Linked DNA regions of Callithrix jacchus. Each later gene encodes a partner of the first gene's protein in a complex. Links are inferred from orthologs where the notes say so. Each region holds a gene or a part of one and is shown in the gene's direction. Other genes may lie near its edges.

Region 1 (4,184 bases):
TTGGGAGGCCAAGGCAGATGGATTGCCTGAACTCAAGAGTTCAAGACCAGCCTGGGCAACACACACACACACACACACACACACACACACACACACACACACAAAGAAATAGGAAGACCTTGGAGGTTTGGAAGCAGTGGTGGAATGAACCGAGTTTTTTCTTTCTTTTTTTTGAGATAGAGTCTCTGTCACCAGGCTGGAGTGCAGTGCTGCAATCTTGGCCCACTGCAAACTCCACCTCCTGAGTTCAAGCGATTCTCCTGCCTTAGCTTCCTGAGTAGCTAGGGCTACAGGCGCGCGCCACCACACACGGTATTTTTGTATTTTTAGTAGAGTCGCAGTTTCACCATGTTGGCCAGGATGGTTTCAATCTTTTGACCTCGTGATCTGCCCACCTTGGCCTCCCAAAATGCTAGGATTATAGGCGTGAGCCACCGCACCTGGCCTGAGTTTTTTCTTTTCTGTTTTTTCTTTTTTTTTTTTTGAGGTGAGATGCTCTAAAACAAACAAAAAACACTGCTATGCTTCCCAGGCTGGAGTGTAGTGGCGAGTTCATAGCACGCCAAGCTAATTTATTCACTTTCAATTTTTTTTTAGTAGAGACGTGGATCTTGCTCTGCTGCCCAGGAGGTCTTGAATTCCTAACCTCAAGCATTTCTCCTGTCTTTATCTCCTAGATAAAGTGGCCTGAGCCACCACCCTCAGCCTGGAGTTCTTGAGAGTACCAGGGCTGAGAAAGTTCCAGGGTTAGGAGGCTCCTAAACTGGTCCAGCTGGGAAGTAATGGGACCAAGGACAGGGAAGTGAAAATGGAGGATTAGGACTAACTCAAAGGCCGTTTAGCAAAAATTCACCATGCAAGGCCCTGTATTAGGGCGCTGGGTGCTCATATTTCATTGTCCCATCAGCTCTATAAAGCAGGGGCCCACAGACCTTTTCCATAAAAGGCCAGATTGTAAATACATCAGGTTCTGCAGATCTGTAGGATCTTTAGCAACTAGCTACTCTATTGTGCAAAAGCAGGCTGAGATCCTAGGTAAACTGGCAGGCGTGTCTGTGTGCCAATAAAACTTTATTCAGGGACCTTCAAATGTGAATTTCACAAACTTCTTCACTGGTCATAGACTATTCTTCTCCTTTGGATTTTTCCCCCAGCTATGTAAACATGTAAAAATCATTCTGAGCTTTCGGGGCCAGACCAAGAAACCGGCGGGCCTTGGTTCGCCTACCGCCTGCTATATAAATCGTTAATTAGGTTTGAGAGCAATTTTAAGAAGATCCTCAGAGGAGACCCTCAAAGAACACCGCCCCTCTAACGTCATCAAACCCCGCCTCCAAAGGCGGAGGCTGCGCATGCGCGGGAGGCCCTCGGGCGGGGGCGGGGCGGGGTGCAGCTCCGACTTCGAACATGGCGCACGCTGGCGGCGGCGGCAGCAGTGGTGGCCCCGCGGGCCGGGGGCTGAGTGGCGCCCGCTGGGGACGCTCGGGCTCCGCGGGCCACGAGAAACTGCCGGTGCACGTGAGTGGCATCCCCGCCCTCCCTTGGGGACCTCATCTTCTGGACTCCGCGGGCAGGCGCCCCTCACCCAGGCCCCGCCCGGCCCTGGCCCCGGCCCCGCCTCAGACTCCCCTCTGCTCGGTCCCCGATCCCTCACTCCTCACCTTTCACCTTGGCCCTCCGAAGGTCCGGCCTGTTCCCTTCTCCTCCAGGGATCCCAGCCCCTCGTTCCCTCCTCCCACGGCCCCGGCCCACCGGGACTCTTCCCCGCTCTGCAGGTTGAAGACGCCCTCACCTATCTGGACCAGGTGAAGATCCGGTTTGGCAGCGACCCCGCCACCTACAACGGCTTCCTGGAGATCATGAAAGAGTTCAAAAGCCAGAGGTACCCGCGGGGCCCCTCTCCACCTCGGGGGACCCCCGTTGGCCGGAATCGGGCCTAGCGGGGTGGGACCTCCCCTCTCCAGGCTGCCCCCTTAGCCGGGTGACCTTGCGCGGGTTGTCGAATCTCTCAGAGCCTTAGCTCTTTCTCGTAACAAAAATGGAAATGGGTAGTACCCACTTTGTGGAGCTTCGTGGGGATTCCTGAAAGGAGGGCAGGGACCTGGAGGGAGCCAGGGAAGGCGAGGCCGTGCACACTCATAGAGTCGAATCCTGCCTTGATTTAATATGTTGATTGTTAAATAAGTTTTGTTCATGAAAGATTTGGTGGGACCCATTTTGATTTTTTTTTTCAAGTCTTGGTGATTGAAATTTTTGGCACCCTCTTCCTCTTTAATCTTGTCCTCAGCATGCTTCTCTGGGCTCACCGGAGTCCCAGGCCTGCTTGGAAGTGAGACGCATAAAATGCTTAGTAAGGGAGCTGGCATACAGAAAACGTTTAAAACACATGAGCTGATTTTGCAGGCCCAGAATCAAGGAGGATTACAGATAGATGGGAAACCCTGGGATCATGCACTTGTTTTTGTAGGAGGCTTAATGGGACTTGGAATGGGTAAGGGATCCACCTAAGTGGCAGAGGTGGCACTAGAACTCAGACCCTCTGACTCAGATGCATTCGGGTTACATCCCTACCATGCTGCTGCCCCCTTTGGTGGGGCTGGCCTGGTCTCCTTCCAGGAGCCCAGTGCTAAGGGCTGTGATGCAGCCCGGAGGGAGACCCCATCTCTCCCCTCCTATTTATCTTACACTTTTCCCATACTTGGCTGTACCGTTGGTGTTTATGCATTGCAGTCGTTTGCTCAGATGGAAACCTGTGTCATAGTCATCCCCATCTGATATGAAATGAGGGAATTTTTCACATTGCTTAGAGGACTTAGGCCTCCTGCCACTTCTTGGAGACCAGGACTTGCGGTTGGCTCTCCTGACATTTTCAGAACCCAGTACTCATTCGTGGAGTGTTTTGCGGGAGCTGAGCAATGTCAGTATTTTCTGGTTCTCACCAAAAGGGCACAGGGAGCTCAGGCCTAGCTGCTCAGGAAATAGATCATGGTGTACAGATGCTATCTCAGGGGCACCTTTTTTTGGAGACGGAGTCTCACTGTGTTGCCCAGGCTGGAGTACAGCGGCATAATCTTTGCTCACTGCAACCTCTCTCTCCTGGGTTCAAGTGATTCTTGTGTCTCAGTAGCTGGGATTGCAGGCACGCACCACCATGCCTCGCTAAGTTTTGTATTTTTAGTAGAGACAGGGTTTCGCCATGTTGGCGAGGCTGGTCTCAAACTCTTGACCTCAGGTGATCTGCCTGCCTTGGCCTCCCAAAGTGCTGGGATTACAGGTGTGAGCCACTGTGCCTGGTGGATCATATTAGCTTGCTTTGTTGTCTGTGGAGAAGGTTGTTATGTGGCAGTATCAAGGGAGTAGGGAACAGATTTCATTTTTTATTTGCTTCCCAAGACCCACTCTTGTTGTTTCTTCTAGTATCGATACTCCTGGAGTCATCAGACGTGTCTCTCAGCTCTTCCACGAGCACCCTGACCTCATTGTTGGATTCAATGCTTTTCTTCCCCTCGGATACAGAATAGACATTCCCAAGAACGGGAAGTTAAACATACAGTCGCCTCTAACATGCCAGGTATGCCGCTACAGTGATTCGGGTGTTCTCAGCCTTCACCGCGTATATCTTGCTACTCAGGTTGGGCCACGTGTCTCTCTTGTGTCATTGCTAGAAAGCCACTTAACATCCGTTCTTTTTCTAGACATGCTCATTGCTTCTAGCACAAATCAAAATAGATACGGAAACACCTACACAAGCAGCCTCTGCCTCCCAAATTGATCTGCTGGGAAGATTTAAATCAAGAGTGGATGTCAGGGAGGTATCCTCCTAATGCAGAATTTTGTGTGAAGTCTGAGATCTGGGCCTGAGGCTTTCCCAGCGAGTGTACCAGGCAGGCTTGCCCTTGTACTTGCTCATGTGGTCGTCTACCTCTGATCACTCTCAGAGCCACCTGTGAAATAAAGTGGTTGAGATGGTGTGAGAACAGCCAGTTTTATGTTTCATGGGATTGTCAATAGGATCATTAGCTCAGTTGGGACTCCTGACTTTGCTTTGGTTCCTTCTTTCTTGGGTGAGAGGTGCTGCCCTCTTATTTATTTATTTATTTTTTTGAGACAGAGTCTGGCTCTGTCATCCAGCCTGGAGTGCAGTGGTGCGATCTCAGCTCTGTGTAACCTGCACCTCCCAGATT
Region 2 (3,500 bases), on another chromosome or scaffold:
CATCATGTCAAGCATTTTTCTCTCTCAGTGACTGCTCATTCACCTCCCAAACTTGACACTGAGCAATAGGAACCCAGAGTACTACTCTGAAACCCTGTCCAGTACCCATTTTACACCTTTCAGGCTGAAGCAGAGGACAGCACATGGTGGTTTCTATGTTTTGCAGGCCTTAGACCTTGATGAAGAAAAGTGGAGGCCCCACCTGCTATATTTCCATTTCTGAGCCTCCTTTTCCTTAGTGGACCCCAGAGTGGATGGTCCCTTGGGCACCAGCACCACAGACAGAACAGCACACCAGGGCAGAATCAACTGGACATGTTGGAACTATCTCCCTCTCCTTCTTCCTTCTGTCTATCCTGAACAGGTTCCTGATGCTATAAAATCTCAGTACCAGTTTCCACCCCCTCTCATTGCACCCGCGGCCATTCGGGACGGGGAGCTGATCTGCAATGGGATCCCTGAGGAATCACAGATGCACCTTTTGAACTCTGAGCACTTAGCCACCCAAGCAGAGCAGCAAGAGGTGAGTGAAGGCAGGGCTGGGATTCCAAATTCAGTCTTCCATGTCACCACAGCTGTTATCTAAAGTAGCCTCAGTCATTCTCATTCCTGTCCCCACCTACCCTCATCCTAACCCCTCAATAGTTGAGTATTCCAGAGGGAACTTCTGGCTCAAATCACAAAGGCAAGTAGGAGATCTACAAAGTCAACCACTCTGCTTCTCTGCATCATTCCCCCAGTGCACCGAAATCTATACCCTAGAAAGAGATGAGTAGACCCATAGAGAGGTTAAGTGATAGTGCTGGATATTGGTCACAAGGTAAGCCTTAAAGGCAGAGCCAAAATGAGGATCCCAAGCTCTGTTGGCCAGAGGGAATGTTGCCTGCTGAGTGTACCCACAAGTCTTGCTTGGGAATGGAAATGGAATTCTATCAGGAATCAAGCACACCCTTTGTGAGCATTTGCAATGGGACCTCGGAAACTGCTTGTCAGCTCTGCTGCAGCTCTGGCCACTGTGGCGGGAAGGACCAGCACTTCTCAGGCCTCTCACCCTCCTCTCCTCTCCTCTCCTTCCATTGCAGTGGCTCTGTAGTGTTGTTGCGCTCCAGTGCAGCATATTGAAACATTTATCTGCTAAGCAGATGCCTTCGCATTGGGACTCTGAACAGACAGAGAAGGCTGATATTAAGCCTGTTATTGTGACTGACAGCTCAATCACCACCTCCCTGCAAACAGCTGACAAGACACCTACACCTTCCCACTACCCCTTGTCCTGCCCCTCAGGGATTAGCACCCAGAATTCCCTGAGCTGCTCTCCACCCCTCCAGCCCTCAGCCCTAGAGGACATCGGCTGCAGTTCTTGTGCGGAAAAATCCAAGAAAGCCCCTTGCGGGACTGCCAACGGGCCAGTGAACACAGAGGTGAAAGCCAATGGCCCACACCTCTACAGCAGCCCTACTGATTCCACGGACCCCCGGCGACTTCCAGGCGCCAACACCCCCCTACCAGGCCTCTCATACCGGCAAGGCTGGCCCCGGCCCCTCACGCCACCAGCAGCTGGGGGCCTTCAGAACCACACCGTCGGCATCATTGTGAAGACAGAGAATACCACTGGCCCCAGCTCTTGCCCCCAGAGGAGTTTGGTTCCTGTCCCAAGCCTGCCCCCTTCCATTCCCAGCTCTTGTGCCAGCATCGAGAACACCAGCACTTTGCAAAGAAAGACTGTCCAATCACAGATAGGACCTCCGTTGACAGATTCAAGGCCACTGGGCTCACCCCCAAATGCCACCCGGGTGCTCACTCCCCCCCAAGCAGCAGATGGTATCTTGGCCACAGCAGCCAACCAACGATTCTGCTCACCAGCGCCATCGTCAGGTGAGTGCTGCTTAACCTTGGGGTGATTTGGAATAATGTTATGCTCTTCCTGGCAAATAAGACAAGATTCCAAAAGCACTTATATCCCTGTGAATACTTCAGAGGACTTTGGCCTCTGTATTGTTTGTGTTACTCCCATTTCCGTAATACAAGAGGAAGCGCATGTTAACTTGTCCCATTTATAGATGGGACTGCTTAGGCTCTGAAAGCTTCAGTGATTTCCTTAAAATGACCTACTGAGTCAGCAACAGGATTGGAACCACAGCTCAGGTTTCCTGACTCCATCCTGTACCTTCCAGGCCTATGCCCTCACCTGTTTTGTTCTGTCACCTCAAGGCAGGGTGCTCTCTGGAATTACTGTGATTAACCTGAGGTTCTGGGTGATGGCTTCAGTATTGTCAGATCCACACAAAAGAATGGATTCATGCCTGATGTATAGTCTCAGGAACAGTTCATGTGAGGAACTTCCACGTCAGGAAGCAGGGATAGATAGTAGCACTGTCTTTCAGAGCTATAGAGTGGGATGCCTACAGGGGTTTGTCTATCCCAGAAGCTTGCTCTCGGGCCACCGGCCAAAGGGCGGTCCTTTAGGTCTGTATTTGGCCTAATGTGGACCTCTCAGCTGTCCCCAGTCAGCACTCAGGACCTCAAGGTTGCTGACCCCGGCATCTGAACCAGGTTTCAGATGCTGCCGGAACCCCCTGTGGTCTCTCCCGTCTGAACTGAAGCTGGCCTCCTAGTCAGCTGGGAGTCTCGGTAACCAGGTGACTGCGATTTCTCTGCATGGGGGCCCCTGGTCCCAGGATGGCCCCACTTCCAGGCTGTTTTCCTATCTCTCTTTATCACTTAATACCAGCATGAGTAGATTTTCCATGCTGTGAGTCATATTTCAGTAGGCAGGAATTACAAGGGCAGGCACCACTTACTTAAGAGCAGAGGCAGCAGGGAGGTGGTCATGGCCCGAAGAATGAAGCTGCCCCACTACTTTCCCCAGAGCAGTGGATTTCAATGGTTCTCAGTGCTCTGAGACTCCTGCGTGCCCGGGTATATTTGTCGTTCCATCTGCCCTTCCTCACCACACGTTTTTAGCTCTACGAGTTCCAGAACCTATGGGTTGAGAATCAAGAAGGGAACATCACCTTGGGTCCGAAATCCAGACCTGTCTCAGCAGTGGGGGATTGGACCGGTGGGTTTCCCTCAGGCAACGTAAGTAACAGTCTTCCTGCTCCGTCCCCAGATGGCAAGGTCAGCCCCGGCACGTTATCCATAGGAAGCGCTTTAACCGTACCCTCTTTCCCAGCCAACTCTACTGCCATGGTGGACCTCACCAACTCACTTCGAGCATTTATGGATGTCAATGGAGGTGAGTGAGTGAGCAGCTGCTATTCCAACAGTTGCTATGTTGAAGGTGCTTTCCTAGATATCATTCAGCTCATTTCAGAAAGGGGGAGAAGGAACACCTGATCCCAAAGGTCTAGGGGAGATGGGAATGAGGAGTATCCTTTTGGATAAGGGAGTGGAGTGAAAAAGAAAGCTCCTTCTACAGCTCTGCCTTCTACATATGCTTATACTCACAATCAGAGATGAAGGGAGGACAGAGCCAAACTGAACCAGTGAGAAAAGAA

The links. Proteins that work in one complex are often made in the same cells at the same time.
Region 2: the proteins of SIN3B (region 1) and PHF12 are in contact, whole or in part, in a cryo-EM structure (PDB 8BPA), measured with the Homo sapiens proteins. The link is inferred for Callithrix jacchus from reciprocal best matches to the Homo sapiens genes SIN3B and PHF12. Residues at the interface, in NP_056075.1 of Homo sapiens: Glu307, Phe311, Leu318, Glu322, Val323, Tyr324, Glu325, Asn326, Leu328, Arg329, Cys330, Ile331, Leu333, Phe334, Asn335, Glu343, Leu347, Pro350, Phe351, Lys354, Phe365, Lys395, Arg396, Glu490, Glu493, Leu494, Val497, Tyr545, Arg546, Ile547; in NP_001028733.1 of Homo sapiens: Leu20, Met21, Gln23, Ile24, Gln25, Leu27, Leu28, Pro30, Pro31, Lys32, Thr33, Asn264, Leu266, Val267, Leu269, Val271, Val273, Phe275, Thr276, Asn278, Arg279, Ser280, Arg282, Cys292, Pro293, Leu294, Pro316, Asn317, His318, Ile319.

What each region holds. Positions count from the first base shown.
Region 1 is NC_133523.1:15,437,805-15,441,988, forward strand, and holds the start of SIN3B (paired amphipathic helix protein Sin3b), read left to right. Parts: upstream 1-1,384; 5' UTR 1,385-1,407; coding exon 1,408-1,518; intron 1,519-1,775; coding exon 1,776-1,882; intron 1,883-3,417; coding exon 3,418-3,571; intron 3,572-4,184.
Region 2 is NC_133506.1:104,699,703-104,703,202, forward strand, and holds part of PHF12 (PHD finger protein 12), read left to right. Parts: intron 1-364; coding exon 365-523; intron 524-1,082; coding exon 1,083-1,875; intron 1,876-3,112; coding exon 3,113-3,238; intron 3,239-3,500.